Linked DNA regions of Rhinolophus ferrumequinum. The protein of the gene in region 2 purifies or fractionates together with the protein of the main gene of each other region. This does not show direct contact. Links are inferred from orthologs where the notes say so. Each region holds a gene or a part of one and is shown on either strand. Other genes may lie near its edges.

The links. Proteins that work in one complex are often made in the same cells at the same time.
Region 1: the proteins of EXOC2 (region 2) and EXOC7 fractionate together in Homo sapiens (co-fractionation; 4 studies listed by BioGRID, with this or other methods). This does not show direct contact. The link is inferred for Rhinolophus ferrumequinum from reciprocal best matches to the Homo sapiens genes EXOC2 and EXOC7.

Annotation. Positions count from the first base shown.
Region 1 is NC_046304.1:50,885,172-50,892,376, forward strand, and holds the start of EXOC7 (exocyst complex component 7), read right to left. Parts: upstream 3,177-7,205; 5' UTR 3,160-3,176; coding exon 3,019-3,159; intron 2,828-3,018; coding exon 2,762-2,827; intron 1,609-2,761; coding exon 1,424-1,608; intron 1,227-1,423; coding exon 1,121-1,226; intron 1-1,120. UniProt on the Homo sapiens protein: Component of the exocyst complex involved in the docking of exocytic vesicles with fusion sites on the plasma membrane.
Region 2 is NC_046292.1:93,602,875-93,609,984, forward strand, and holds the start of EXOC2 (exocyst complex component 2), read left to right. Parts: upstream 1-3,925; 5' UTR 3,926-4,194; intron 4,195-4,396; exon of another isoform or gene 4,397-4,548; intron 4,549-7,110. UniProt on the Homo sapiens protein: Component of the exocyst complex involved in the docking of exocytic vesicles with fusion sites on the plasma membrane.

The sequences.
Region 1 (7,205 bases), on a different chromosome or scaffold from region 2:
CTCCCCCTAATATTCCTCACACTTTGTTCCCACCATTTTTCCTGGCAACATTCTCTCCATTCCTCCATGCACTGAGTAAACTTCACTTCTCAGCCTTACCCCATCTTATTCTAGTGACCTAATAACCCCAATGCTTACACACAAAGATACAATGCAAAAAGTCAAATGTAAAAACATGAATTCAGGTTCCCAGAATAGTCCAATTTATAGAGACAGAAAGTAGAATAATGGTTGCCAGGGGTTGGAGGGAGAGGAGAAAGGGGAGTTACTGTTGAATGGATCAGAGTTTGAGTTTGGGATGAAAAGGGTTCTGGAGATGGACGGTGGTGATGGCAGCACAGCAATGTGAAAGTACTTCATGCCACTGAAGTGTTCACTTCAAAATGGTTAAAATATGAATGGGCCTAGAGAGTGTTATGCTGAGTGAAATAAGTCAGACGGAGAAAAGACAAATAACATCTGATCTCACTTACACGTGAAATCTGAACAACAAAATAAACAAACGAACAAAACAGAAAGAAACTCATACACACAGAGAACAAATTGGCGCTCGTCAGTTGGGAGGGGTGTTGGGGGGATGGGTGAATAAGGTGAAAGGGATTCAGAAATACAAACCGCCACTTATTAAATGAGTCACGGAAACGTAAAACACAGTATAGGGAATAGAGTCAATATTGCAATAAGTACGCATGATGTCAGATGGGTACCAGACTTATTGGGGTGATAACTTTGTAAATTATATAAATGTCTAATCACTATGTTGTACACCTGAAATGAATATATTGTTTGTCCACTGTAATCAAAAATAACTTTAAAAATTATAAATTTTATGTTATGTATTTTTACCACATTAAAAAAAACCCCACAAATGCGTTTATATAAATCAAATGTTAAATTTACATTTTATATGTAATTTATAATTTAGTTAAATTATACAAATGTAACAAAAACGTATGATGTCATTCCTGAGGCAGAGGTCTTCATGACTACAGTCTGTGAACTGTATTATATAGTTCTGTTTATTCTACTATAGCCTTTTTGAAGCTGGCTTAGTCTCTCCTGAGACCAGGGCAGTGACTGGTGTCCCCATCGCTCTCATATTACCCTGCTGGTCCCTTACCACTTTGTTGAGCTCTGGGCTGTCTGGGCTATTGTCCTGGAAATATTCCACAGCCTTCTGAATCTTGGCCATGCTTCCCAGGTATTCTTCCAGCCTACCTGTGGGGCTGGGAAGGAAAAGAGCCAGATCGGCCTGGGTGGATGGAAGATGAAGAGAAGGACCAAGGGAATGGTAATAGAAAGGGGAAAGAAAAGAAGTAACACAAGGGACTCCAGGCTCAAATACATTCCACCCCTCCCTCCCAAGGCCTATGGCCACTGGTCCAGGAGGCGTTAGGAATGTGACCCTCTGGCCCTGGCTCACCCCTCCCTGATGATCTTCTCAGTGTCACTGGCCACGTGGTAGTAGCTGATGACGTGGTCCAGGCAGGACAGAGTCTTCTCAACATTCTCCTGCAGCCGCTGCAGGTTCTCTGTCTGCTTGTGAACAGGGATGATGGAGTTTTCCAGCTTCATCAGGCGGCTCTCAAAGGATGACAGGATAGACACCTGCGGGGGAAGCCCCGTGCTCTCAGACCTCAGGGTGGTCCCAGCACCGCTTCTACCCATCGGGTCGTGGCATTTGCTGCGTTTTTCTCTGGTTTTCTAGACACCAAGCTCTGTGAGGGAAGGGGCAGGGTGTACCTGTTCATCTCTGTAGCCTGAGCACGTCCCATGTGCCGAACCATAGGAGGTGGTTCAAATAAATTGGATGAAGTTTGATTTGAAGGCAAGCCAAGCAGCAAATTAACTTCTTCTAAGTTAATCACCCCAGGATGGCTTCCCTTCCACCCTTTGAAGCTAAATCTCTATTTCTGTTCTCTCTGAAGCTTTCCTACACTGAACAGGAAGTAACTTCATATAGAGGGGCTCAAATGCATTGCTGGTACCTTCAAAACCCTCCCTCTCTAAGGGGGAGTGTCATTCAATAAGGAATAGGACTTTACGATTATGTTATTAAATACATACCCAAGTTTGTATTTACTCAATTTGTGCTTTTCCAGTCTCCTCTGAAAATAAGGAAGGAAACTGCTATCTGTTGAGCACCTACTGTATACCAGGTACTGTGCAAGATGTGTTAGCCCATGCATTAGCTCCTATGACCTTCACAGCCACCCTGGGAGGTTGACAGTGGCTGTCTTATCGGATGCGTTAACTGAAGCCCAGAGTTACCTGTCAGGAGCCATACACAAATAAGTGGAGGGGGAGGGCTAGATCCTAGATCTATCTGACTTCAAAGCTTGTTCTACCCCTACAGCCCTCCAGGCGTGACGGCTGAGTTCCCCTGCCCTCCTCATCTTGGAAGTGCTCTATCCCTCCCATCCCACCATCCCTCCAACTGAAGGCTGCCACGTGACCAGTACCCAGCCCACCAAAGTCAGTCTCACTAAATGTTTGCAGAAAGACAGAAGGAAGAATGGAGAACTTGAACAGAAAGCAGAAAGTCCAGGCCAGAGGGGCTGCAGCATCCTCAGTGAAGCGGCGGACAAGGGGAAGGCAGCGAAGTAAGAGACAAGCCACACGGTTGCTAGAGAAACCCACACGCGACCACCATCATTAGCCGGGCCAGAACCTCAGGCCTTATAGACCGAACCGCAGGTCGCAGGGCTCCCCCCCAAGGTCTGGAGGCCTGTCAGCCCCTCCCAGCCGAGGCGTTACTTGCCATGTTCTTGGTGAGCTGGTCGCTCTTCTCCAGGCTGTCTCGGATGAAGGACAGCGTCTCTTCTTCCTGGGGAAGCGGAGGGGACGATAGTAGCAGAAGCCGGAAGCTAAAGGAGATCACCGCGCTCTCGCCCCCAACCCCATCTCCTTGAAGGGAGCGCTCCCACCCACCCCTGCCTCCTCCGTGAGTATATGCCCCGGCCCGGATCTCGGCTCCTTCCCTCACCTCCTCCACCACCTTCCCAGCCCCAGTCCCACCTGCTTCAGCTTGTCCTCGATCTCCCGCCGCCGGGCGGACGCCTCCTGCGGGGGAATCATCCCTTCGACCCTGAGGCTCCCACTTCCAGTATTTTGTCTCAGAGTGCGTGCCCTCTCGGCTCCCGTCCCTATCACACCCATTTCCGCCCTTGGCCCCGCCCCAGAGCTCGCTGGTGGTGCCATGTTGGGAGAGGCAGGCGGAAGTGCTCCTGCGCGGAGCCCAGTGACCGGCTGGAGCAAGTAGCCATCTTGGGTGTGGCTGGGAAGTGTGGCTGTTGTGGACCAGCCCGGAGAGCTTCACTCAACACTTAACCTTTCTGAACAGCACCTAGCCCATAGTAGATGCTCAAGAAAAATATTGAAAACATCTTGCTGTATAGGTCTTAGGAAGGGAATCCTCTATGACTGAATACTTTGAATTTTGTATAGTATCATTGCATTTTTGTAAATGAACTATATACGTGTGTGCTTTTTGTATCTTCTTAAATTTCCTTCACTAAGTTAATTTGGTAGCCAGCTGCCATGTATTGAAAGTCTTCTGTTTGCCCATCTCTGCTACAAACACCATCCTTACTCGTTATCTTGTCTAATCCTCACAATAAACTTTGGGCACAGCTGTTGCCTTCCTTCTGCCAATGAGGAAGCTCAAGCTTAGAGTCAGCTGCACTAAATCAACACAGCTGGCTGGGAGAGGGTTCTCCTCTACACCCCGCCCCCCCATGCTGGGTAGCTCAGGAGTTTTGTTTGTTGCTATGCAAAGCTGCCAATCTGATTTTCAAGAAAATCCAGTGTGAATAGCAGGGTATATTTATGACCACCATATCTAGGAAAAGGTAGACAGAATGGAAAGATGTTTAAATTATTCTCAACCCAATGTCAAGCATGTGTTGACAAGTAGACATTGAATCTATAAAAGCTGTAGTTCCCCAACTATCCTCAACACAAGCTGCTTTACCAAAAGAAGCAAGTAGTATTTCAGCTGCAGCCTCAGAAGCCTTGATTTTCCTTCACAAACTTGTACACAGCACAAAGGTGCCAATCACAGCCAAGTGCCCCACTGCCCGCTCAGAGAGATTCTCTTTCCAGAGGGAGGGAGGGAGGAAGAGCTCCCTCCCCCAACAGCGTGTTCTTTGGTAACATCCTAATTCCAGACTTTGTGTTCTTTCTGAGGAATCAAGTGTAACATTCCTCCAAATTAATGTTTCCTGGCCCTGTAGCCATCTGAAAATGTGGATGCTATGACGTAAACAACCACAACAGTGTATGTTCCCTGGGATTACAGCCATTTAAAATATGATAGATGCATTGAAAAAAAAAACATTCAGGGAAACAGCACAAAACACTAAAATAGTAAGTAGTAGAGTACAAGGGATGTTCAGTTTCTCTAGTTTTTAAAGATGATGAGTTTAAATTACCTTTCTATCAAAACACTTCTAAGAGAACAAATTTTACTTTTTTCTGTAATGATCAAAAATAGTCTCTTTTCCTCATTTCGAAACCACCAGCCATCAACAGTGCCATCTGGCAGAGTGGTCAAGAGTTTTTTTTTTGTTTGTTTGTTTGTTTTTTTTTTTTTTTTTTTTTTTTTTTTTAACTCCTCTTAGATATAAAATGAGAGAAAGGACCAGGGTGTACAAAGCCCAGGAGTGGACAGCCTATTGCATGCTGTCTTACAACGAAGAGAGAGCAAAGGAAAGGTTGAGCGTGCTCTCAGCCTCCTGTGGGCTCAAATCTGCAATTTGGTTTTAAAACTAGTTTTTCAAATTAAATGTAATCCTACTCAAACGGTAAAGAAGGTACATGGTGAAAAACAAAAGGTGCCCTGCTCTTCCTCGACCCTCAAGCACCTCTGTCCCAGAGGGAACAGCAATGATGTGTTTCCAGATGTGTTCATACGAATCAAGCATAAAATAAGCTCTTCTTTCTATTTTTTTTTAAAACAGAACACAAATGCTATCACGTTAAACACACTTTCCTGTAGCCTGCTTGTTCATTTAACAGTATACCTTAATCATCTTTCAATATTAGTATTAGATATACTCCATTCTCTGTATAGACTTTCATTGAATAGATATATTCAGGCAATCCTCTATTAATGGACACTTGGGTCTTTTGCTATTGGAAATTCTATCCCATATACAGATGGCTTGTGTATGATCACTTCTGTATGGACATCTTATCTATACATTACTAAATTAAAATGTATATAACCTTTAAAAGTTTTATAGATATGTACAAATTGCCATCCAAAATGGTGAACTAACTTATATTTCCAATAGTAAGGTATAAATGTGCCTATTTTCCCACACCTTAACCCACACTATGTATTATCAAACTTTAACATTTTTTCTAATCTGATAAATGAAACATGGCATCTCATGGTTAATTTTGAACTAAATGAAAAGGAAAACACAACTAATGAATATTTGTGAGGTGCAGTGAAAACAGTGCTTAGACGGAAATTTCTAGCTTGAATGCATACATTAGGGGGAAAAAAGATCTAAAATGAGTAATCTAAGCCCCCACCTTAGGAAACTAGAAAAAGAAAATTAAATCCAAAATAAGCAGAAGAAAAGAAATAATAAAAATTAGAGCAGAAATCAATGAAATCAAAGACAGGAAATTAATAGAGAAAAATCAAGGAAATCAAAAGTTGGTTCTTTGAAAAGATCAATAAAATTGATACCCTCTAGTCAGGCAAGAAAAAAGAGAGAAAACACAAATTACTAATACCAGAAATGAAATAGGGGCATCATTACTGATCTCATGGACATTAAAAAGCTAATAAAGGAATATTATGAATAACACTATGCCCCCAAATTTGATTCCTGGGTGAAACAGACCAATTTCTTGAAAGATACAATCTACCAAAACTCACACAAGGAGAAACAAATAATCTTAACAGACCTATAACTATTAAAGAAATTGAATCAGTTAATAAGCTTCCAAAACAGAAAACACCAGGCCCAGATGGTTTCACCAATGAATTCTACCAAATATTTATGGAGAAATGACACCAATTCTCTACAATCTTTTTCAGAAGATAGAAGCAGAGGGAATACTTCCAAACTCATTCTATGAGGTCAGCATTACTCTAATCCTAAAACCAGAGAAAGACATTACAAGAAAGGAAAACTACAGACCAGTATCTCTCATAAATACAGATGCGAAAATACTCAAAATATTAGCAAATAAAATCCAACAATGTGTAAAAAGAATTACCTACCATGACTAAGTGGGATTTATTTCAGGTATGCAAGCCTGGTTCAACTTAATTGTATATTTAATGTTTAATATTTCCTTCTTGGCCTTTTTTTTTCCCCTGAAAAAAACTTCCTAGATATTCTCATTTTGTTTATTTTTTTCAGGTGAGCTTTAAAATCATTTTCACAACCACGAATCAAATGTCCCCTGAGTACAGTGGTTTGAATTCAGGTCCCCAAAAAGACTGGGACGTCACCAGGGAACAATGCCCACTTGAGGGATGGAGGAAAAGTGTGACCCTGGAATGGGAGGGCTGGAAAGCTGGATCCTGAGTCTTCCTGCTGGAGCCTGTGAAGTGGCCAGCAGAGAGCAGGGCCCACTGCCAAAAAGAAGGACCTCACAGGTCAGAGCTGGAGCCAAGGAGTGACCAGGTGGATGGAGCCCAGCTGAGGGCAGATCAAAGGCAGGGAAGAAGCAACTGGTCTTCACAGATGAGTGACAAAGTGAGAGGAAAGCTAGGCCTCCAGGACAGATGCTATCATGCAGGTGACAGGAAGACCTGGGCTTGTCTTCTATAGGGTTGCCTCTCAGGCATCCAGCTGGACGCAGAGAGGGTGCCCAACAAATCTGTGATGAACAAATAAGCAAATAATTACATGATGACTAAATCCACGAGGGTGAGGGGGGAGCAGGGGCATAGAGGGAGGACCAAAGGGGTCAGACAAGCTCGTAGGTACATGTCCCAGAGTGGGGCGAGGGAAAGGAGGTAGGGTGCGCTATACTCCTGGGACCAGATGGAACATTCTGGGGCCACAGGCACAGTCTCACCTGGCAAGATGGTGGGCCTGGAGGCCATAACAGCCTAGGCTCTTGGGGAGGTTCTGTCTGGCCAGGGGCATTTTAGATCCTAAAGTGGGAGAGTGGCTCTAAGAGATACCCCGCTATTCCCCAGCCCCTCGGCTGTCTCTGGGCCTGGTCAACTT
Region 2 (7,110 bases):
AGTTTTGCATTCAACACTTATTTGTTGAGCATCTACCATGTATGAGACATGGGTGAACAATACAAAGTTCCCTTTCCTCAAGAAGCGCATATCCTAGTGGGAGCAGACCAAAAAAAAGTGAAGAAATAGATAATATATTTACAGGTTGTGGTTAGTGCTATTACTGGGTGGCTGATGTATTAAATACCTGCTATATAAGGCTCTACAATGATGAATAAGACAGGAAGCTGCCAGCAAGGGACTTATAATCTGAGTTAACAGAAGACCAAACAATTGTCAGTCTTTGGTAAAAAAGATTGCTAAGGTATGGCAAATTATAGTTGTTTTGAGGATTAGAGTCTATACAAATTATGGTCCATCACAAACTGATATGCCATGCACTATGAAACACTTAGGTGTTCATTTAATGTTAAAAAAAAAAATCTAAAGAACAGGAAACTGTGCCTGTCATAGTATTTCTTAAGACTAAAACCAAAGGAATTTAATGCGTCAAAGTTATTTTTTCTAGGTCAAACTAAATCTCATGCAGAATTGAAAACACAAAGCTATAATGATATTTAATTGCCTCAAAAGCTACTGCTGCAATTTTATGTGTAATTATTTTATTTGCTGCTAGTTTCTGCATATACTGTGCCAACATTTGCTAGCTGGCTTTAGAATACAGACCAGAAGTTTAAGAAAAGAAAGAAAACACCACCAGTAATTTTCATATTTGCGAAAGATTCTTTCCTCTTTTGAGTGTTGTTGTTTCAGTAATACAGTAGTTTTCTTCTCCTTCTCCTTCTTCTCCTTCTTTTTTTATTAAGGAAAGATCTGTGAGTCCTCAAGTGCCATTCATACCAGCTTATGGCAGGATCACCTAACTTGAGAAATGGCCTGTCACTGAGACCTTAAGGGGAGACAAGAAAAGGGTTTAGTTTCACTGTGAAGTGGGGTACTACTGCCAGGGATACAGAAAACTTAATTTCCTTTCAACCTCTGTTGCCAGGTCTCTGACTCATGTTTCCTGTGTGTTTTAAAATGGATGATCCTGGGACAGTTGAGAAATTGCGTGCTTGAGCAACATTTTGACTTGTCTTCCGATGTAAAGGACAAAAAAATAAAGTCATGCTAAGTCCCAGGACTCAAGGGGGCTGTACGAAGTATCAACTTCTTTTTCTTGGGCTGTATTTCTCTGATAGGTGTGCAAATTCAGCACATAAAAGATATTTGAGTAATAATAAGTATAGTTTGTTTTCAGTCTGTGATAATGACTATCTTGGCTGCATTCCTGCAGAAGCCATCCCTGAGACATGGTTTCAAGAGCTAGTATTTAACTTGGGAGGTGATACCAGGAAACACCAGGAGGAGAGTGGGGAAGCCAGGTGGGGAAAGGAAAGGAAGCCAATAAAAAATGTGCTATGAAGCCATTCCTGAAGATGCTGGAGCTGTGTCAAGGGCAGCTCTGGAATACATTGAATAACACGCATCTGAGCTACTCCAGGAGGGAGGCAGACTGGCTGGCTGAAGCCTGTATGTGGTCCCATGAACTGCCTAGTGCTTCCAGCTTGTCCTGGTTCCAGGAAGAAAGCCCAGAGGCACAAGTGGGCAGGCTTTCCCAGAAAGCAGAGGGTACAGCAGAGAAATATGGGTTAAGGTTGATGGCCTCTGCCACTGTCCATCCCTTGCATGCCATGTTGTGTTCAGTCTGTCCTGTCACTGACTTTTCACGCTGATGTCCAGTCATCCCCACATCAGGGGTATTGATAAGCAGAGCTATGGGTCCTGCCACTGTAGGTTCTGAGGTCATGATGATTTCCATTATTTCCTCCCTGATCACCCATTCTAGATTCCCTCACCCTCAAATAGCACTTTTGCTGGCCTGGGCTGCTTGATGAAGTGGCCCACAGCTTTGTCCCTGCGTCCCTCATCCCAGACATGGGTCTAGGCCCTGGTTGCCATGCCCCTGTCAGGCCAGGGTTGCTGCATTGCCCATTAACTGATATCACCAGGCATGAAAAAGATGTCCAGTGCATGTCCTGAGTTCCAGAAATAATTTTCCCTGCCCCTATTTCCTCCTGATAATAAGGGTCAGTTTTTTGTTGACTGAGGAACACAAATAAAGAGAGGCTTTAGATTTAGGTGAACTTTGTGTCCCCTGGCTCCTCCAGCAGAGCGTCCTCCCCTGCTGGAGGAGCCAGGACTCTATGAGGGACACAGCACCATACGATGGTGTTAGATTGAAAATACGTAGTACATACCATAGCACAGCATCCTAACCTGCAAAATGCCCTCCTCAAGCTGGAGCCTCAGTTGTGCCTTCAGAGGCCCTTCTAATGTTCTATCAGGATGGCAGCTTCTGGGTGTGTGATGTGTGGCACAATCAGTGATCTTGTGGGATAGTCCCCTTTGTCGGACCTCTCTCACTCTTTAGAGGTCCCTGATCCTAGGTGATATCCTGGGCAATTCCACGATGATAGATCAGACACTATGTGAGCAATTCAACAGTGATGCTTGCCAGGCCGTGCAGGTAGGGAAGATAAACCCAAACCCAGGATAAGTATCTGGGTCTGAGAAAACCAACTTGCCACCAAATGGCTGCCTGGTCTCTTCGAGGGAAGCACAATGCACATTGGCCCACTGTAGCTGAAGGGGGTGGTCGCACTGTCTAGATCACCTTGTTGGCAGGAGTACGTGTAGCTCCATCCCTGCCACCATGGCTTCCCCATTCATAGGCCCATTCTAAAACACTGAGGTGATCCAGGACAGAGGCTGGTCAAATCATCCTGGGTACAGGGGCTCCCTGCTGCAGATGCTCTCTGGTGGGCATTCATGTGACACATACAGATTGGCCAAACACAAAATTTCTGTGAGGTGCACATGTCAATTCTTGGGGTAAGCTGGCAAGGCCCCACCATGCTCTGCCTCTGCCCATGGCTACGCTCCTCTCCATTCAGCTGTAACCAGCCACGCCAACAGGTCTCCTACCTTTGGGAACTTCTAGACCGGAAGCAGACGGGATACTCTGGGTCCCATATAGTCCAAATGGCAGGCCAGCTCTCCCAAGAACTTTGCCCCCATGCTCAGCTCCACTACGATGGCAGCAAGCACAGCTCCCAGTATGCTTCAGGTCAGCCAGTACCAACCAGTCTCACAGATACTTGGGTGAATCCCTTCCACGCCTTGAAGGAGTATCTGAGCCCAATAGTTTGGGCCTCTCTTTATAATGTGGAGTGACTTTAGGGTGACCATACATCATCCAAACAGGGACACTTTTGACAGTAAAAGGGGCACTCTTTATTATTAAGCCAGGATACCAGAAAAGACTCAGTTATGTCACTGGGGTCACCCTAGTTAACTGCCGCCTTTTCCAGTTTAAGTGGCCAGTTCCAGGACAACTAGAAAAATCCCTCTGAAAACCCCATCACGTGAGCTTAAACTCCATTGTCCTCCATTATGCCATTTCTTTGCATAGACTCTCAACTCCTTTGCTCCCTGCTCCTTATGCCTTGTAAAACTCCAACCTTCGTTACACTAATTTTCAACTACCTACCTACACCAGAACAGCCAAAAATGGACAAGCATGATGACTGGCTCCATTTTAAACTTAGGACAGCATATCCCAAGAAGGCCTTCAGTCCTGCCTGGAAATCTTACCGCGTTTTCTTAGTAATATGCTTCACAAAATCCAATACTAAGATTTCACTCTTTCTCCTCAAACCTCCGTTGTCCCTCATCCTTCCTATTCCCGGATGACCTTGCTGCTTCTTTTGCTAACAAAATAGAAGCAACCAGAAGAGTATTTTCTCATCTTCGTCACCACCTTTTCCCATCCCCGCCATGGCCACGGTAATTTCTTGCAGACTGCTGCAGTCGCTGTGACATTTCTTTTCCTCTTGCCCCGGTACGGTTTACCCCCCGCCCCGCGAGATCCTGGAAGGAAGTGACTGCCGTTGGGTGTATCCAGCGCACCCGCACAGCGCCTAGGCCATAGAGGTGCTCACTGAGTTTGTTGAATTTAAACAATCAACCCGCAGGGTTTCCAGGCTGTAGCCTGGCATTCTCCTCCGTAACTTGCATGGCCCTGTGGCTTTTGTGTGTCACTTAGCCTCTCCGGGCCTCGGGGGGAGTCACGGCGTCCTGAGCCAGCGCAGAGCCCACCACAAACGCCCCGAGGGCCCTCCTCCGCTTCCTGGAAGGTATCTGAGGGCAAGGGTAAGAACAGCGCACCGCGCACCCAGCGACGTGCATCCTGCCCCCCTTCCCCCCCCCCACGCCGCCCGCCGCCCGCCGCCCGCCGCCCGCCGCCCGCCGCCCGCCGCCCGCCGCCCGCCGCCCGCCGCCCGCCGCCCGCCGCCCGCCGCCCGCCGCCCGCCGCCCGCCGCGCTCTCCTCCCCAGAGGGCGGCTCATCGAAAACTCGGCGCTCTACTACTCGGCGGATCGACGCCGTCGGCGCTCCCAGCGGGCGGAAGTGGCGGGCCGCGGCGGTGGGGCTGCGACCCGAGAGCTGCTCCGAGAGCGGCCGGAGCCCTATCGGAGCGGGCTGAGGGGCGGCAGGCCGGCTGCAGGTATGTGGTCCTGGAGGTCCCGGCGGGGGGCCCGCCCGGGGAGGCGCGGCCGGGCAGGGGGCGAGCCTCGCTCCTGGAGAGGCGGGCGGGAGTGGCGGTCCGCCGGCGCCCGTGGTCAGCCCCTCGTCCGGCTCTCCAGTCCCTGACCGTGAGGGGGAGGGAGCCGCGCCGTCGCGTCCGCGGTCCGCGCCCCTCGCGGGACCCGGGCCTCCGGGACGTTGGCCCTCGTTCGCCTCACCTGCTGCCTTGCGCGCCTGCGTCGTTGTCGCGGAGTTAGGTTTCAGAATTTGTTCGCAGAGCGAATGTGAGGCACGTTTTGCTTAGGTTTGCATCAGTTTAGAGCAATACCGAGCATCTTCTAGGTGTCAATCACTGTTGTAAGCATTTAACATTTACTGACTGGTTTAATCCCATTAGCGGTAGGTGCTGTTGCAGTATACCCATTTTCCAGAAGGGGGAACAAGCTCAGACTGGGGTCTGAGCTTGGTTAGGTAACTAGCCTGCAGTATAGTTAGTTACTCAGTGCCTGCACCCCCAAACCACTGTGCTGTCTCCAAGGTAAGCTCTCTCTTGCTTACCTTGGTATCGCAAGATTTAGTAAATAGACACTTTTTTAACTCCAATAAACAGTTCTTGAAAGAGCTTGTCTTAAAATGGAAATAAGCTATTTTTAATTGCTAAAGGTTAATCATACTAATGAGTATGAAAATAACATTTTCATTGTTTTTATGAATCCGAGTAAACCTACAAGGAAAACTTTAAAAAATACTTTAAAAATCAGCCACACCTTAATTAAATCGTTTGGGTGCACTATATTGAAATGCTAGTGCTCACTGAGGTGAACGTGGATCTGTGTCCTAATGAGTAAACAATACTTTATGTTATCATAGTCTGGCCAGGCTCTGTGTAAATGACTCTAATGGCAAAGGAACTGAAACCCAAAAGCTTCCCAGGGATTACCTGTATGTTAAAAGTTGACTCAAAGGGTGGCAATAGAAAGAGGATGATATGTGTTTAGTACTTAAATGTTCTATTTAAGTAGAAACTTACTAATTTTAAGCAGAGAAGCAGGATCCTCCAGTGTAACTTGGAACAACTATTGGAAGTTTCAGAAAATAATTTTTTTCTTTGTCAAGTATTTCCTGTACTGAATATCACTTTGAACTATTAATATCACCTCTCAAAAAGATGATTATTAACCTGCTAAGTTAAATTTTCATTCCATAGACATTTGAGAACCTGTTGTATATGAATCTTACGGGAAATGAAATTGGTACTCAAAAAATTTTGCAAAGGCAGCCTTCTAGTAAAGGACCGTGAACAGTTTCTAGTGTCATCCAGTAGCAGAATTAGGCCATATAGGAAATGCTAGTTACACAATTAATCTCTCAGTTACTCATGCTTTTTCGCCCATTCACCAGCTTACTTCTCATCTATCCTGGATTCCTGGTACAGCATCTAGCACATAGAGGAGCTTAAATATTTATTGAATGGATGAGTTATAGGCCAGTGTTGAGTAGAGAGGATTTTGCAATTGACTGGAAAGGGAAATAACATTGATGACTCTGCTAAGCAGTATGCTAGAAGTGTTGCTTGTTCTCAGACCCTGGGGAATGTGCCCATGGATCCCCTGGAGTGCCTGGTGAAATCCAGTGGTAGTAGTGTTCAGTTATAATCACGTGATTCAGTATATGTTTATGTTAATTTAAAAGAATTATTGATAAAACCACATAAAATTAAAGTAATTGTAGAGAACGGATGAATCTTGAAGCTGTGGACATACTCATATGGCATCCTTGGATTTCAGTTTGAAAATTAGTCAAAAGGTATTTTGGCTTAGTAGTCGAAACAACCATTTACTAGTCCATGCACTACCACCCACCTGCTTTGTAGCCTGAGCTGAGTTACTTAGCCTGTTGGGCTTCAGTTTTCTTTTCCCTGTAGTCAGAGAATATACAAAACTAGATTATTTCTAAGAGTTCTTCCTGCTTTGGAAATTTCCAACTCAGTGAATCCTATAACCACTTAGCACTTGTCTTATCCTTGTCGTAGGGGCTGTAACTATGACTGGTATTTACATGTCTGTCAAAAGACTAAGCTCTTGTTGGACAGGGTTTAGTCTCGGTCATTTTTGTATCTCCCAATTTTAGCATACAGCCTGACACACACATTAGAAATAAAACAATGTTAGCCTACATTCAGAAGGGGCATTTTTGCCCTCTCAAAGAATGGCTAAGAACTAAACTATAGTACTGAGTTTAAGTACAGCAGGAATTCAGAGAAGGGAAGCGTGTATTGGGGTGGAGTAATTGGGAGGCTTCATTGAAGTCAGCCTGTGATGCTGCCCTTCAGAGGGAAGGCAGGTGAACATCTGGGCAGCACACCAGGAACAAAGGCTCGCTGGCTGGTAAATGAGAGCATTTTGGATTATGGGGTGCCTTGAAGGTCAGGCACGGGAATTTGAAACCGATTTATTAGCCCTCCCTTTTTTTCCTGGAAAATTGTATTAGGTTTGCTAAAAATCTTCACGAACATTCTTTAACTTTTTGCTGGGGTGGGCCA